Drosophila melanogaster: one gene and its partners. The protein of the gene in region 4 interacts with the protein of the main gene of each other region in a pairwise test. Each region holds a gene or a part of one and is shown on either strand. Other genes may lie near its edges. The genes, in order: Hsp60B, Art6, Dlg5 and CG4168.

Evidence for each region.
Region 1: the proteins of CG4168 (region 4) and Hsp60B interact in a two-hybrid assay, tested with the Drosophila melanogaster proteins (one large-scale study listed by BioGRID).
Region 2: the proteins of CG4168 (region 4) and Art6 interact in a two-hybrid assay, tested with the Drosophila melanogaster proteins (one large-scale study listed by BioGRID).
Region 3: the proteins of CG4168 (region 4) and Dlg5 interact in a two-hybrid assay, tested with the Drosophila melanogaster proteins (one large-scale study listed by BioGRID).

Annotation. Positions count from the first base shown.
Region 1 is NT_033779.5:726,573-731,110, forward strand, and holds Hsp60B (heat shock protein 60B), read left to right. Parts: upstream 1-1,789; 5' UTR 1,790-1,935; coding exon 1,936-3,882; 3' UTR 3,883-3,992; downstream 3,993-4,538. UniProt on the Drosophila melanogaster protein: Prevents misfolding and promotes the refolding and proper assembly of unfolded polypeptides generated under stress conditions.
Region 2 is NT_033777.3:13,944,153-13,947,535, reverse strand, and holds Art6 (arginine methyltransferase 6), read left to right. Parts: upstream 1-1,723; 5' UTR 1,724-1,753; coding exon 1,754-2,151; intron 2,152-2,209; coding exon 2,210-2,837; 3' UTR 2,838-2,882; downstream 2,883-3,383.
Region 3 is NT_033779.5:11,514,078-11,519,036, reverse strand, and holds the start of Dlg5 (discs large 5), read left to right. Parts: upstream 1-1,955; 5' UTR 1,956-2,171; exon of another isoform or gene 2,172-2,235; 5' UTR 2,236-2,314; exon of another isoform or gene 2,315-2,379; 5' UTR 2,380-2,528; intron 2,529-3,219; 5' UTR 3,220-3,256; coding exon 3,257-3,311; intron 3,312-3,363; coding exon 3,364-4,959. Other genes in the region: CG4970 (uncharacterized protein), read right to left, coding at 1-27, 85-1,545.
Region 4 is NT_033779.5:15,197,456-15,202,381, forward strand, and holds the start of CG4168 (uncharacterized protein), read right to left. Parts: upstream 3,005-4,926; 5' UTR 2,619-3,004; intron 1-2,618. Other genes in the region: Sfp35C (seminal fluid protein 35C), read right to left, coding at 4,252-4,307, 4,367-4,528, 4,582-4,609.

The DNA of each region.
Region 1 (4,538 bases), about 14 Mb from region 4:
ATGCGGCCAACGATTTTCATGCACTCTTGACACCGCCCGGTACGTGACAATATGAGAGGCACTCATTCCGCGACGCAGAGTTGGCCACAGTTGGGTCAAAAAAACTAGGGGGGCAAAGGCTAAATTGAGGCTAAGCTTTAGCTGCCTCATTACACTCAGAAATATGCACTAACAGCTAGCGTATGGCCAGAATTGAAACATGACACACACATTTTATATGCCCGTTAATTACTGTAATTCAAGATCAAAATTATTGGCCATTTAAAATTGTTGAACCTGATAATTTGCTATGACGACCACCAAATTATTTATTTTAGTGCAGTTCATCGATAGATCGCTCCCATCAGCTCAATCTGCACTTGGCTGCCCCAGATCCCAGATCCAGGAATTTCGTCTGCCTGGTACTTACGCAAATGCTCAGATTGAACTGCCAGTCTATCGTCTGCAGTCTATCCATTTCTCATTAAAACTTTCTTTGCTGTCTGCTCCACAATTACCCGAACGACTTCATCTGCTCGATCCACGGATCCATCCGCGGGTAATGACAGAGCCGGCAAAAAATCTGCCAAAACCAATAGGAAATCATCAGCCAACGGTCAGTGGGTTAATTTTGGCCCACCAAAAATACTGAAATGAATTGGAGAATCCCCGAAGATGGCCTGCAATTAATCATAGATTGAGGCTTATTCGCTATCCAGCGAAAGTAATTTGTAGCCGACAAGAGACCCTGCAGATCGCTTGTAGTTACGATTATCGCACAGCCCACCAGGTGGTCTTCCCACCATGGACACTTTCACATGTCGCAGAGTTGGCGCAGATGGGGAGAAAGGTTGCGAGAGGAAGAAGAGTCGTCGAACATGCAAATGCCTCATCAATCAGCTCCTCCGCCCTTCCCCTTCAAATCGGTGACGTGCTTTTGACACAAAACCCGGCTACTGTGCTACCGCTTGCACATGGCAATCAACGCGTCAAGCGGCCAGGAAACGGATCCCGATTCCGACCCCAGTTCCAATTCCCGTCTGCGGCACACAGAAAAAAGTTATACCTACTGAACTAAATGTGACATTATTTTATACGTATAGAATACGAGAGATAGCTCATATAAATCGCATTGAATTTATATGCAAACCTATTTCTAAACATTCATACCTAAGTGCAATTCATCGTGCGAAAGTAATGCCTTCTTGCGCGCTGTGCACCCAACATTTTCATCCCATCTCCATTTCCATCTCCGCCTCAAACTCCCCATTTCCATTTCCATTTGCCGTTTGGCTTGCAGCAAAATGTGTGAATTTCTTTAGTTTGCAGTAGGCAGCACACAATTTTTGACAGCTGCCTTCGAAATGGGAACGGTCAGCCGAGGAAAATGCATCCATCCTCCGGTGCAGAACAGTCGCACCGCAGTTCTGGGAAATCTGCACACGCTGGTCTTGTTTGTGGGTCAGCCTCAGCCGATGGAGGCGAATAGAACTGCAAATGGGCAGACTCCACCCAGAATGTCGGGGCTTATTAGCTGCACGCTAATTTATTCCGGCAAACAGAAGGCACGGCTTCTGTTGTCGAAGATTTCAGAGCCGCAGATCGCAGACGGGCAGGCGCCAGACAAATGAATGTTGTGAAATCTGGCGATTGCCTGGAAACTTGTCCGCAAAGAGAAAAAAGAAAAAAGAGAAAAGTGCTCAAGGAAAAGCAATATAAATAAAGAAGAATGGCTTGCACATGTTACATAAAACGAGAAGCTTAAAGATAATGGAAACAAAATTTGGATTTGAATATGGGAGTAGGCCTTGAACGAGTCCGTCTAGTCCGTCAGTATCGAGTCAACAACCTACATATTAGTTGCACTCACTTCGTGTCTGAGATCAAACGAAAAAATATTAGAACCAAAAGTTTTGAAAGTTTTTTTTTTATTATAGTTTCAAACTTAAGTGCAAAATGTTTCGGTCGTGTGTGCCCAAGGCGATTACCTCTAGTCGCTGTTTCGCGCGGATGTACTCGAAGGACGTGCGCTTTGGCTCCGGAGTACGGGCAATGATGATCCGGGGCGTTGATATTCTGGCTGATGCCGTTGCTGTGACCATGGGGCCCAAGGGTCGCAGTGTGATCGTGGAGCGACCATGGACCTCGCCGAAGATCACCAAGGACGGCTTCACGGTCGCGCGCTCGATTGCCCTAAAGGACCAGCACATGAATCTGGGCGCCAAGTTGGTCCAGGATGTGGCCGATAATACGAATGAGTCGGCGGGTGACGGCACGACCACAGCAACAGTTTTGGCTCGAGCGATTGCCAAGGAAGGATTCAATCAGATTACCATGGGGGCTAATCCCGTGGAGATTCGTCGAGGTGTCATGTTAGCTGTTGACGTCGTAAAGGACAAGCTGAAGGAAATGTCCAAGGCAGTGGAAACGCGTGAGGAGATCCAACAAGTAGCCACCCTCTCCGCGAACGGGGATACTGAAATTGGGCGGCTCATTGGTGAGGCCACCGACAAAGTGGGTCCAAGAGGAACTATTACTGTAAAGGATGGCAAGCGCCTGAAGGACGAGCTAAATATTATCCAGGGCCTGCGCTTCGACAACGGCTATGTGTCGCCCTTTTTCGTAAACAGCTCCAAGGGGTCCAAGGTGGAGTTTGCCAACGCCCTTGTAATGATATCCCTGAAGAAGATCACTGGACTCTCGCAAATAGTTAAAGGTCTGGAGCAATCCCTGAGGCAGCGTCGTCCCCTGATCATCATAGCCGAGGACATCAGCGGGGAAGCCCTCAATGCTTTGGTCCTGAACAAGCTCAGGTTGGGCCTCCAGGTGTGCGCCGTCAAATCGCCCAGCTATGGACACCACCGCAAGGAGCTTATAGGCGATATATCCGCTGCCACGGGAGCAACTATTTTCGGCGATGACATCAACTATTCCAAAATGGAGGAGGCTAAGCTGGAGGATCTGGGTCAGGTTGGCGAGGCTGTGATTAGCAAGGACAGCACCATGCTCCTGCAGGGCAAACCCAAGACAGGACTTTTGGAAATGCGCATCCAGCAAATTCAAGATGAACTGGCGGAAAAGCAAATCAAGCCAGAGCAGCGGGATCGTCTGCGCCAACGCCTCTCCGCCCTCACGAAGGGCGTGGCAGTGCTGCACATTGGTGGAGGCAGTGAAGTTGAGGTGAATGAGAAAAAGGACCGTGTGGTGGACGCCTTGAATGCCACTCGAGCGGCCATCGAAGAGGGAATTGTCCCAGGTGGCGGTACGGCCTTTTTGCGCTGCATTCCCTACCTCCAGGAACTCAAAACGGAGAGTGCAGATCTCCAGAAGGGCGTCGATATCGTCTGCAATGCCCTGAGGATGCCTTGCCAGACCATAGCTCAAAACGCCGGAGTTGATGGCCCAATGGTGGTGGCCAAGGTGTTGAATGGCTCGGAAGACTACGGCTACGATGCCATGGGCGATGAGTACTGTCGGCTGGTCGAGAAGGGCATTATTGATCCCACAAAGGTGCTGCGGACCGCCATCACGGATGCAGCTGGAGTGGCCTCTCTTCTGAGCACCACCGAGGTGGTTATCACCGACTCCCGGAACGATGATCTTTTGTCCAAGTTGTCAGGAGCTGGCGGCGGAATGGATGATGGACTGGACATGAACATGGGTGGCTTAGAGGAGCTGGCAGCCTTAAGTGGATTGGGTGGCATGGGTGGTATGGGAGGCATGGGTGGTATGGGAGGTATGGGAGGAATGGGAGGTGGATTCGGCGGAATGGGCGCTGGTGGCGGAATGAGCGCTTCTGCCAGCAATGACGGTCCCACTGCCGAGGAGATGAATGAAATGGTCAAGGCTATTCCCGGCATGGAGCAAGTAGAGGTGCGTGACATTGACAGTGGGATGATGTAGAACCCGCTTCCGTTATCCGCTCCAGCTCAAATCGTTTCTATAGTTCAAATATCTGTTGAGTGTCTAAATTTTATGTGTTCATCTAAAATATAAATTGACAATCGAAAACGAATTGTATAAAACAGTCGGGAACCCTTCCAAATGACTTGAGAAAGTGAATTATTGGCCTTTTCCCTACACCAGCAGTTTTCTGGCCAAATATCTTTCAACCGGTTCATTATGCTGGTCTGCAAAAAGCTACACTTCCTTCACACTTTCGGTTTTTAATTGCAGCCGAAAATTTGGAACGGCGACCGGCAGAGCGAATCCAGCTGCAATGCGATGATCATTTGCATAAAACAAACAGCAATTTCTCACACATGTGAGCCGACCCTCGGTTTTTTCCCCCGTACTTTGCATGGTTTGTGTTTGCAGATTTCATTTGTGGCCCGCAGCTAAAAAAGCGATTCGTTACATGAGAGTGAGTGCGCAAGAAGGGGGGCCTGAGGCTGGGAGCCTCCACAAGAGCGTCACATCAAACATGCATCAATAAATAAGTAATTCCAATTTGCAAATTTTTCATCGAGGCCCGCAAACGAACCGAAAATGGTGGACGGACCCATCGAGCATCGAGCGTGGGCCAGGGAAAAGCCACAGCCTCTTGGACCTCGCGAATC
Region 2 (3,383 bases), on a different chromosome or scaffold from region 4:
TCCCCTGTTGAGCATTGATGTGAGCACATGTTATTATTTGTTTTTGATGAAGTGGTTGATTACAATCGACCCTCCCCAATCATTTTCATCCAACCCTGATTGTCCTCCAACTGTGGTTACAATTTTACTTGTAAACAGGAATTCGGGCCAAATGAACCAGGAGAGGAATAGATGACTTTGATTAAATAGGGCTCGGAGATGGGAAACTACTGTGAATAATCATTTAAAAAATATATAGTACATTAAATAACATATTTTTGTAATATAGTTGCAATTCTGGATCCTTAGAAACACAAATACTCACCAAAATCTATAAACTATTTGTTGAAACTAAAAATGCAAATTAGAACTTAATCTTGTTTCTTGTTAAAACTAAAAATGCCTCTTAGAAACTTAATCTTGTAATTGGTATTAAAAAATATAAATTTGTAAACTCAAATATCATTGGGATATTGGATAAATATCAATAAACTTCCATTTTATTATCTGGAAAATTAAAATTAAATTCCATTTAAGTTAAGGTCATAAAAGTCAGCATTTTATGGCTTTTGGCTTGTGGGTCAGCAGGTGAAAATCGAAAATCGAGGTGGGCCACCCACACCTTGCATAATTGGCCCATATCGAACATTTGGTAATACGCGATAGAAGAGCTCCAAGTTGGCCAGAGAGAAGACATCGGATTGACAATGGATTCAGTATGCAAAGCATCGTCGCATTTTAATCGCCTCAGTGGGTGGCATTCTCATTGGGAACAACGAACACTAATGGAAACTTACGTCGTTTTTTAATTGATTTGTGCCAAAAGTTTTATAGGTTTTTAAAGCCGTCCAAAACAAATGGCAACGATTGTTGGCCGGGCCCAAACGCAATCGCAGATCGAACAAATTCGAAACGACCCCCCGGCCGGAGGAGCGAACCTAATTATGGAACGCCCGAAATGGCAAATTAGCATAAAATTTAGCAACATTAAAAATTATAGTTTATTATGCTCGAGTGTCGCGTGTGTGTGCGTGTGCTCCTTTTTATTGTTGCTCTGTGACTAAATTGATTAATGAGCCCATTTAATAGCTGCATCTGCTTATGGAGATATTTTTATGACACTTAAAAAAACAAAATGATGACGGGCATTTTTTCGCCTTTAATTTCAACTATTTTCGTTTACCGTTGGCCACAAACAAGTTGCACAATTTTGGACGCTCACAGTGAAAGTGCCTGTTGGTTGGTGCAAGGGGGGGGGAGGGGGAAGAGAGGAATCATTAAGTTTTGGCCATAAAAATAAATTCGGGGCTGGGCGGATTAAGCGAGTTATGGCCTGGTGTTAAGGTGTTGGCGGCACATTTCTTTCACGGCCTTTTGAGTGGGGCGATTTTTTTGGTCGATTTTAATGGGTCCATTAAATGCAAAATTTTGATTTATCTTGCTTCGGCCATTCAAATGCAAATAATGGCGATAGAATGACGTAGTATTGTTCATCATTTTATGCTGGTTATAACCAATTTTTATAGATTTTTGTTTGTGACCAAATGTGGCAAAATTTGTGAATATTCGGATCTTTTCTTCATTTTACTCACTTAAATATGAAAGCTGCCTTTCTTATCTTATCTATAAAATATAAGATATAATTTGAATACCCTTTCGAGGCAAACAGATGACCAGATGGCCATGATTTTTCTATCAAATATTGTCCCATTAAAATAGATGTGTATGTTTTATGTGACTTGTGAAATTCTATTGCAGCTGAATAATCCTGAAAATGTCTTTTAATGCCAACCAAAAATTGCCCTTCCTGGAGGGCAAAGATAGCGACTATTTTCAATCCTATTCCCGCCTGGAGACCCACATGAACATGCTCAGGGACTCGGTGCGCATGCAGGCTTTTCGCGATGCCATCGTCCAGGATGGAGGGCTATTCCAGGACAAGATCGTGCTGGATGTGGGCTGTGGCACGGGTATACTATCCCTTTTCGCCGCCGAGGCTGGTGCCAGTAAAGTTATAGCCGTTGAATGCACCGATATAGCGGATATAGCCGAGGAGATAATAAGGGACAATCAGAAGGAGAATGTGGTGAAGGTGGTCAAGGGATTGGTGGAGCAAGTGGAGCTGCCCGACGGCATTGAGAAGGTGGACATCATAGTTTCCGAATGGATGGGGTAAGGTATATTAATGAAGTTATAAAATTTTAAAATGACTTGCATTTTATATTATTAGAAATGCTCTGTATATGGAGGCCATGATAAACTCCGTGCTGTTTGCCCGGGATAAGTGGCTCACGCGTGGTGGGCGAATCCTGCCCAGCACTGGAAACCTCTGGTTAATGGGGGCCTATGATCCGCATCGGCGGACTAATCTTAACTTTTGGTGCAACGTGGAGGGCATCGACATGGGCTGTGTGAGGAAGCCATTCTCCCAGGAGCCCTTGGTGGAGTTTGTGCCCATCCAGCAGTTGCTCACCGACGAATGCTTCATACACTCCACCAACCTGGCTGTGGCCCGCAACCAGCCGGTGGAGTTTCAATCGAACTTTCAATTAAAAGTCATGCGAACTGGAATTATCAATATGCTGGTCCTGTACTTCGATGTCTTGTTTCCGTCGGGAAAGTCGAACAAATCCGTAAGCCTGACCACCTCGCCGCATTCGCCATGGACGCACTGGGAGCAGACGGTGCTCCATCTGGATGAGCCACTGTATGTGAGGATTAGGGATCGGGTGCGCGGTGTGCTGGCCATGACGCCCACCGGACAAGATGGACGTGGCATGAACTTTGATCTGCACATCAGCTTCCGTGGCGAAAGAACGCGAGTGGAGAGCTTCAAGAGCTTCTCCTCACCAAGATGAACCTGAAGTTCATTTGAAATTTAAAAACATAAGAATGTTGAACCGAATTGATAACTGCCATAAAATGGGTCGTTAATCTAGGGCCTCCAATTGCCCAAGGGTTGGGTTTTATATTTTTTTATGACAATCAATCCGCGGCGGGGCTTAGAAAGTGGACAGACGAAATGTTAACGACTTTCCTAACAAATTAATTTCAAAGCCAGGTCATTGCCGAGGGGAGAATGTGAAAATGTGTCCCTCCCCGGGCTCTAATTAATTGATGAGCCGTCGTATAAATTTGTGAAAGCCAACGCCGTGGGCCCACAATGAACGCCTTTTATGCGTTTATAACTCTATTTACTATTTTAGCCATTTGCATTGTCTCGCTTCTCGCATCTCGAGAGCTTGGTTGCCCAAAAAATCTCTTGTCAGCTCGTTTTGTGTTTGTGCACAGACGGACTGGTCTTTGTTAATGGGAGTTCTTAAAAGGCCATAAAGTTGCTTTATGCGCCCATGAAATTAATATGCACACCATTATTGGACATGATTATAAAATATTGGTTATCT
Region 3 (4,959 bases), 3.7 Mb from region 4:
CATTTGTTTAAGAGCGGTTTCCGTTACCTAATTAAACAATAAAAGTGTTTTTGTTTAATTTTTAATCCGATTTTGAAGACTCACAAAGCGAAGGCGTTCAGACGGTTGGCTGTCCCGCAGTAATGTGCTTCTGAAGATCTCCTCCAGCCTCTCGATCTTCTCGTTGTCCTCTCGTTGCATCCGCTCCAATTCCGACAGCAGTCGTTCCTTTTCAGCCAGGTGCATCTGCTCAGCCTGTCGTGTCCTGTTAAGCCAATGATCCAATTCGTTTAGGGCACCCAAGTACCGACTCCGTTGGGATTCGTTGATGTAGGATCTGCTGCTCGGCGTTACGAGGGAGTACTTAAATCGACGCAGGTGGTGTTCCGTCAGTCGTTTGGTCAGTAAATTGTTGTCGTGGCTCACCCAGTGGTGATCCTCGACTTCCTTGAACAGGCGATTCATTAGCTTACTTTTGTCTAGATTTTTTGACCGCAAATAGTCTGTATTAACGAATATGTCCACAACTTTCTCAATAAGCCCATCCAGATAGCTTTGGACCATTTGACCGATGGAAAAAGTCGTAGGGATGGAATTGAGGCTAGATGTGGAGGACCTGGACTCAGATGTAATGTCCTTAAAAGTGGCCACATGACTCGATTTGAATTGCATTCCCTGCAATCTCCAATCGCTTTCGTCAACAGATTCTAGTCCTGAGGGCGATGGTATCTCCGTACCATGCACATCGTCATCGTTTTGCGAGGAAGGTGCTTCATAATTGGATTCGCTGGGAATGAGGCTTTCCATCGACGAGGACAACGACTTGCGGGCCAGTTGAATCTGTAACTGTTCTAGTTCCGAGCCCGGCACCTGCTGCATTTCCACACTCTTCTTATCGATGCCCAGATTGTGATCTGTAGTCCCGATATCACTAAGTTCATCCCAATCGGGAATGTTCCTGAGGGTTTGGAGGATATCAAAGCGCATCCTTATGTTCGAGTCGGAGGATACACTCATTTGGTCTTCGTGATCCGTGGTATTTCCCAATTCCGAGTCCATTTTATCGCCATCACTCTGATTGGTCGCCTCCTCCACGCTGTCCGTAGAACTAGTTAAGTGCGGATGTGAATGAACTATTTTAAGCTGAGTTTCCGCGCTGGCTTCGAGTTTCCTAAGCTTATATAAATGAAACGGCTGTTCTTCTATATAAGATAATTTCCTTTTAACTGCGCTACTTGACTTTTTCGATGGTAACGAGCTTATGGAGACCACCGATCTGCGAACATTCTGTTTGGGCATTCCTCGTTGGGAGGAAGGAATGGGTATGGGTACTGAAGTACTCCAGACACTTGGCGCGGTGGATGCGATACGCTCATCGGAATCCGTACTATGACTCGGGATGCTCATTATACTAGTTATGTGGCTTTCGCCGGAAGTTGCAACCTTCTTGGCGCTCGCATCGTTGACTACCTTTTTTCGATCTCTTTTGCCCTGCAAATTGACCAACTTCTTGGGTATTATTTTACTTTTAATGAATAAAAATTTTGCTCGCCCTGGCTTGGCCATTTTCCAAAAGGTTGTTAGTGCGTGCAACTTGCGCAAAGTGCAGCAGTTGCAAAAAGTATTAAAAATTACAAAGAACAAAATAAACAACAACGGTTTGAACTAAATATTGTGTAATAATATCATTATATTTGATTAAAATCTCCCAAGTTTTCTAATGGGTTTGGAACATTGCTAAGCGAAGACACTTCCAGCACGATTGCGCGCCAACTTAGCGTGTACACACTCCCACTTAGTACACATATACAGCGCTGCCAGCCGTTCGTAAAGAGGAGCGGCAGTTCCGATATAGAAGGAATGATCTTATATGTACATTTTACATTCGGGATTTATTTGTTTTTTAAGAAAGCTGGGCTAATGAATCGATATTAAACAATACTATCGATTTTAATATTGTCTAAAGAGACAGAGTGTATTATTTATCGGTCACTCCGCGGTCACACTGGTGACGTTTTAGTGAAGAAGTTGTGTTGTTTTTTTTTATTTCATTTCGTTCAATTTTCGTTGGCCATTCGTCATCGCTTTCGTCGCAGTGTTCTTCCAAGAGTGTCGTGCACCGTAGAGGTTGACTTTTCGCCCAACGATCCAAGAAACTCAACTTCCGGAATCCGGATGCGCGAGCGAAAACGGTAAAAGTCGTCGGTTGTCCCGTTCAACGTCCGCCTGTTGCATCTCTCCCTCTCTTTCCCGCAGGGCTGGAATTGGGGTGGAGCTCGTCCCCTCTCTTTCGCGCGCCCATTCAGCTGTTGCGTTCGCGTGCGTGTGTGTGAGTGTGCGTAATAAGATTTTCGATGTAAAGGAAAATACGCTATATTTTCCTATTTTTTGGACAAATAGGCGTGCTGCTGGGCCAAGATAAACTCCAATCAAGGAAAAAAAGGGTTTATATAACTCGCAGTGCTTTCCACCATTGTGTGTTCGCCAGCTTTTCTTCTCTTTCATTCGGCCAACTTGTTTTGCCCGCCTGCGAGTGTGTTGGTGTTTCGGTAAGTGTGTGTGTGTGTGCATACATGTTGCTATTAATTTACGCTTTCTGCTCGGCTGCTTCAATTAATTCTTTAGCTTAGTCTCGATGCTTTAACTCGACTGCTTAATTGCCACACATTTCATTTTCGCAAGCAATAGCCGTTTGTAAGAGTTACCAAAAACTGCGTAACTTCCCTTTTTTCTACACTTCGCCACCTATCCCCATTCTCCCTACTGCCTACCCACGCCCACTCCCGCCCATTTTCTCATTCCCCATTGCGGTTGTATTTAAATTCGATTCGTTCGATTGTGAAAATCGCGGTTTCACAAAAATTGTGAAAGTTTCGTTTTTCCAATGCCTTGCTTTTCATACTTACTCGCACACTTCAAAAAATACAGCAATGGTCAAAATAGTATTACTAGTAAAGTTAACAAAAAGTTACAGTTTATTTTAGATAAAAGGTTAAAAGGTAAAAGTTTGAATCCTCACCTTTGGATGTTTAAAAAAAAATTGTATAAACCAAAAATAAATTTTCTAAAAATTAATAAATAAACGGATAAGATGAACGAACTCCATATCAAAGAAAAAACCAAACCCCAATTGGAAAGCAGAATGCATTACGCTAAACAAATTAGTTAGACAGCCTGGAACCTCGCTTAACTTTAACTTTAGCACGAACCTAATTAATCTTTTGTACTTTTACTCATCAGCATACCCTTATGTTAAGTATTACCTAAAGATGCTGTGATGGCGAAGATGGCATCTGGAGATCTATCGCTGACTAGTACGAGTAGCCAGGAAGGTAAGACGCCGTATTCATTTAAAGTACCTACCCATAGCGTCTTTAATTTTAGAAGAGAGCTCGGAGTATGTGGGCTATGATAATACCCTACGACCGCCGTCCAATTCCAGCGGCAGCACCACAGCTGCCAACATGTCCAACAACAACGGGCCCTCGAAGGGCGTCAGTAGCGGTGTGGGCGTGTCGGGCATTTCTGGTGGAAACGGCGCAAATTACGATATACTGCAGGCGCAGTACAAGTCCGCACTTTTGGAGCTAAATACCCTACGCCACCAGCATGCGAACACCAAGAGGCGATGCGATGAGTTAGCCACCGAGTTAACTCTGTACCAGGAGCATTACGTGGCCGATCGTAACAAGTTCACCGATATGGTGGAGGAGAGCGCCCGTTTCAAGCGTCTGCTATTGGAGACCCAAAACCAACAGAGCCAGCAGGCCCAGAATGGAAATAGCCAAGTGCCGCCAGTCGGCAGTGGGAATCCTTATTATTTTGGCAAGACGCAGGGATGCGATGGAAGCTGCAGTGAGAAGCTGGCCGAACTGAAGAAAGAGCGAAATATGGTCGCCGTGGAGAGGGAGAAGTACAAGAAGTCCTACATCGAGCTTGAAAAGGATCGCAACTACTACCGGGAGCGAGGCGATGAAAATCAGAAACTGAAGGTTCTTCTCTCCCAGGAGAGTAAGAATGTGCTTTCCCTTACCGAGGAGCTTAATCAACTGCTCTCAGAGAAGGACAACGTGCTGCAGGAGCACCAGAAGATGTCCGACGATCTGGTTCTGGCCAACAAAGAAATTGAGAGGCTCAAAAAGGACGAACAGCTTGCCAGGGCTGAAATCAAGGTTCTACAGCTGGCCAATGCGGACCTTAAAAAGCGCGATCTTCTAAAGTCTCGCGATAGCTCGTGGTCCAAAGAATTTCCGAGTGGAAAGGAGCTGGAGAACAGCAAGGAACTGGAAAAGCTGCGCAAGAGCTTAGAAAAGGCCCTCTCGGAGGTGGAGCGTTCAAGCCAGGATGCCGAAGAAGCGAAGCGCGTAAGGGATTGGGCCATATCGCAACGTGAGAAGATCGTGCAGGAGCGGGATTCGGTGAAGACGCTCTGTGATAAAATGCGCCACGAGAGAGATAAAGCCATCTCCGACTCGCTGATGGCCATCCGGGATAGCGAAAAGATTAAAAAGCAGAAGGACGAAGCGCAGAAAAAGATCGACTTGTTGAAAGAACAAATGGAGCAGCAAGAGCGCCAAAATCTTGACAGTAACGCCTCCGGATCCCGACGCAGTTTCCGCCCAAGCAGTTACGAAGGTGAGGATCTCCTGGAAGTAGAGCTGTCCGGCTACGAGCACACGTCCGACCTGGGCATCATCCTGGATGACAGCAACAAGCGAAAATTAGTGTGTGGCGTTACCAGCAGTTCCCCCGCCTGCGGGAAGCTCAAGATTAACGATGTGATCTGCAAGGTGAACAACTTGGACTGCCAGTCTTTGTCGAAACGGATGGTTCTTGATGAGATCCGCGCCTGTGCTCCTCGTTCCCTCCTGCTCGTTTCCCGAACTCGTCACAGCAAACGGCACGCCTATTCTGTTCAGCTAAAGACTAGGGATAGGGATTGCCCGCATGGCCTGCAACTGGACATGGGAGTGTTCATTG
Region 4 (4,926 bases):
TACTCAGCGTTAGAGTGGGTAAGATGCACAATCTCGCCGTTTCTAGAATCTGCATTCTTAATATCAATGTTCAAAAAATATAGGGTCGAAAACTCATCCTTCTAACTGATACAAACTTTTCAACGAATGTTGTATACCCTTAACTCTAAAAGTAAGCGGTATAATTAAATACATGCATACATTTTTATAGCATTAATCGTTTATGTGCAACAATTTGATTTATTAATCTCATTACATTTTATTGGAAAAAATCAGACCAAAACTCCATAAAGTCAATCAGCAAAAGTGCCGTAAGGCAACCAAATAATTTAATCGACGGCATGTTATGGATATTTTATTTCTCTGTTCATTATAATGAGTTGATTAAGAGCTAGAGTAAACTTTCCAACCTGGCTAGACTCTGGTCAAGGAAAATTAACTTCGAGTGCGAAGTGTGGGAGGATGAAATGTACGCAGTTTATGATTGCCTTCACGCCTGTCTGGTCATTAGCCTAGGCACAACTTTGCCCCGAAAAAGCACATTTGCGGTCCCCGCATCCCTTGCTTTTTGTTTTCTTTTTTTTTATTTTGCATTTTCAGTAGTCCACAAATAAAACTTTTTTTGTTTGTTTATCCATGATGAGGGTTTGACAGAGATTGCTGTGATGGGGGGGAAGTGTAGGGCCAGAGGTCCTAAAGCATAAACAGATCAATAAAACAAGGCGAAGAAGAAAAGCCGACAGGACGACAGCCACAAAACTAGCTGAGGAATTCGCCCAAAAGAGGCCAAGAAATAACAGCGTCAACTGGCGCAGTTCCCATGCAAATTTCTCCAGACCCATGTATCTGCAACACCCCCGTCAGAAGAACCCAAGAACCCCATGGAACGGTGCCCATGGAACCCAGAGGCACCACGAGGACGACACTCTCCACGCCCATTAACTGTTGCCCGTCTATTTGTTTGTACAAATAATGTGTAAGCAGGCATATTTTTGTCAACGAGGCTAATTTCTGTCACAGATTTACGTGACAATGGCCCAGGCAAGAAGCTAGAGCCCAGAAGGCGCTGGGAAAGCCAAAGAAATCCGCATCAACACGCATACTCGGAATAAAAACACAACAATTACAAAACAGGTTTCATCCAGTGGGATGGGTTGGTGGGTGGTGGGTGGTGGGTGGCTTTGGACAAGTCTGGCAGTTTTTGGTCGAAATATTTTCGTTTCTTCTGCTGTCAGTGAAGTTGGTTATTCGTCGTCGTCGTTTTGCGGCCAGTTCGTAAAAGCCATAAAAAGAAATGTACCAAGCAGCAGTAGACAAAATAAAAAAAAAGAGGAGGCCCAAAACAAAACTGAGCTGTGAAGAACCAGCGTCGAAAAAAAACTGGGTTAGCTTGCGTACTCCCCCCAACATTCCCCATATTTCCCCACCTCCGTTCCATTGTTGCTCCTCGTTGTTTCTTTTTTTTTAGCACCTATGCACCGTTTTTGCGATGCACCCTGCTCCTGTCCGTCTTGGTTATTGTTGTCCAAGAAACTCAATGTGTGACACATATGCAGTCGCCACTCCCCCTGCCACCCACCGACGCCCACTCACCCACTCTGCCACTGCCACTGCAACACTACACCTCCAGATTTTTCTGCGCGTTCCACTTTTTCTTTCCATCATCTTAAAGACCAAAGACACAGATCCAAAAAATGTAGTGGTTGAGAAAAGTTTAAAACACTTATACTTTGTCTTTTAATCCTTCCTTCGAAAAAAATCTTTGTATGAACATTTATATTTCATTTGTATATACGTAGTTTCCTATTGTTTGCTACATATAAATGGCGATAATTTTTGGGAACCAAATTTGCAACCAAACTAAAATTGATCTAAAATTGTTAAAAACCACACATGTGTTTATATATTTTATTTGCCAAATCTACAGACATTTCGACTAACTCTCAGCTGTTATTTTAGTTGTTTGTCAAACAGCTGTTAGTTTATCAATAGCTCTCAATAAAACAAACTATCATTGCAAGTGTATGGTACCCAACATTTGCTTGTTAAATTAAAACCTTAAGCAAGTCCAACCTGATCCATGAACCAATCGAAATTGCATCCAATCCCTTGGACGGCAATGTAAATAGCCCGAGACATTTTCCCGATGCCTCAGCCGATCTGTGGAAACGCCAGTGAAGCGGCAGGATGCACTGGCCTGGCCATCAGAATCGGTGATTGACGCTGATACGTTTGCCACATTTAATTGGGAGAGTGGGTGGATCGCCACCCATCATCCGTCCACCACCCATCATCCACCCCCCGTCGAGGTTGTTTATTGACTGACAAGTGCTGCACATCCGGGCTGCGTTTGCGGAAATGAGCAAATGACTAATGACTGACCAGAGCGAAGGCACCCAAGGCGACGAGTGACCCTTGCCCACTCTGTTTTCTGTTTCTCCGCTTCTGTTTCTTGTTTACTGTGCGCTTCAATTAAAGCATCTTGCAGGAAATTGAACTTTTAGTCAAGTGCCTGGTCGAGTGAGTGGCTGGGAGTTGGAGGAGGAGGAGGTGGATGAGGATGATGATGTGGGGGGGCCAAGTGAGTGGGTGGTTCTTTGAGACAGCGACGGCGACTTGCTCATCAATCTGTTACGTACTTGACTTGTGGGTGGGTTCGTAGGTCGGCGGCTGTTCAGGGCTTGAAAAGCGTATCCGTATCCAGTTGTTGCATGTGCCTAGGCTACTTTTCTCTCCTTCGTTTGCTCTTTCTGCTTTCGTGCCACTTGAGTTTTGATTACTGATCACTTCACTTTGCAATCACCGCTTGATTACTTTTGGTATCATAAGCACTGCCGGATCTCCCTCGACCGATACGATCTCTGGTTAATGCTTCGCGGCTATCAAAGCCTATCTATTTGTGGTCACCATTTCGCGATTTTATCTAGCCGGCTAGAGGTACGAAATGTTGCCGTTGCACCAGCAACATCACTATACGGGCTGCCACTTGTGGCAAAAATGATAATCGGCGATGCTCACGCGCCAAATTACCAACGTGGACTGGCACATCCGTGCCACATTATGCGCATTTTATGGCACGTTGGCGACCTCGACACTCGCTTCGTTTTTAGATCACCCGAAGGCGAGGCATGCAACACGGAAATTGTTGTCCTAGGCGCAACAGACCCAAAAACCGAAGCCCCCGAAGTCAGTTGACACGACCCATGCCGCTGGTGCGAGAGCCCCAAAGCCCGAAGACCCACGATTACCGGAGCATCTGGGCATGCGCAGTGACTGAGCCGGAATTAGTATGCTATCTGGCAATGCTCTGTCATCAGGCGGAGTATTCAAAGAAATTCTAAACTGGACAGTGACTTGATGGGGGCAAAGACGAAGATGGATGTACAATAGGTGGATGGTGGGGGTGAGGTGCGGGAGATGGGCGACCGACCGGCCAGATTCAAGTTCAGGTCGCCCTTTGACCGCAAAATTCCGGCGGCCAGCTAATAAACTCCAGAAGAAGCCAAATTTGTTGTTCGAATTTATTGTGGAACATTCTTTCCAACTAACCCACAACTAAGACTGATAAATGGCCAAGCATACTGGCAATTTGCAAGTTTCTGACCGTTTTTAGAGCACTCAGTTAACCCCAAAAGTTTTATATGCCTCATCTAGGTGCGGCCCATTTCGGTCCTCTTACCCAGCACAGCTCCTTTTGCTGTTTTTAATCTACAATATTAGCCGGTAGTGATGTTTCAATTAATTTTTAAGGTGCACCCCAAACTGCCCAAGAACCGAAGAGCATAGAGATGGTTAAAGATATAAAGATGGAGGCTTTAAGATGCAAAATGGGGGCAGAGAACTCCGGACGAAGCCAGAACCGCATGCTAAGATATGATGGCAGATGCCAAGCAGGATGAATAAATGGCTTGGATGCAAAGTTTAAATTTTTCATAGTTGGGTGGCTCGGTTTGGTTCGCTTCGTTTCGTTTCGTTTGGGTTTGCTTTTCTGGGGCTTGAGTGGCAAAGTAAAATGTTCCTCATATTTGTCTTCTTGAGGTTTTCATCGGTCAAACTACGGAGCAATTGGACTTGTAGCACTAGCAGTAGATTATTTCATTAAGGCGAAACTAAGTTATGGTTAAAAATCATATCATATACCCTTTTTAAAACTCCCAAATGAAATAAACATCAAAATAGTGGACAAACAGCAATTGAACTATTTTTGAACTATTTATTTCTTAAAAGAAATATATTTAATTTATATAATTCAATTGAAAACATTTTATTTGGCTATTTACACATTTTAACGCCCATCTCACAGAACCCAGACACGGTTTTTACGAATTCTAAATACATTTAAAAGAAGTTAAAATCGGGTAAAAAACATTTCAAACATAAAGCTCACGGTCAAGATTATTCTTCTTTCGTCGGCACTTTTCATTTTCCAGAGCACAAGCGCTAGTTCCCTCAAAGTAACATTTGCCATCATAATTGCAGGTGGGCAAGATGCATTTTCCGCACGGCTTATTGCAGTTTTCTCCCCATGCAATTCCGATTAGCATACAGGCTGTTTGATTAACAATAAGAATGATCAAAATATTTAGAAAATCTTTAGCTTACCCAGAATAACTAAGAAAAACAATTTCATAATGATAGTAGCCGATTATAACTGACTTAAACAGTCTCAAGTACATTGCATTTTATTGGTTATATTGGTTAAGGTTAAATGCGTTAAAAAAGCATTACAATCCAATTAAATTTTGTACGAGATGGTATAATACGTTTAGTACATGTTAAAAATGAATGTGCGATTGACTCTAAACTTATTTTAGTCAGAAGAAATAGCTAACCGGTAGTCCACTAAATTCATTCATTCAGCTTGAGAATTTTCGGGTTAACTAAACTCATTAAGGTAAAATATGTAAAATAATAATTATTTAATTTTCTTTGTAAGACCACAACAAT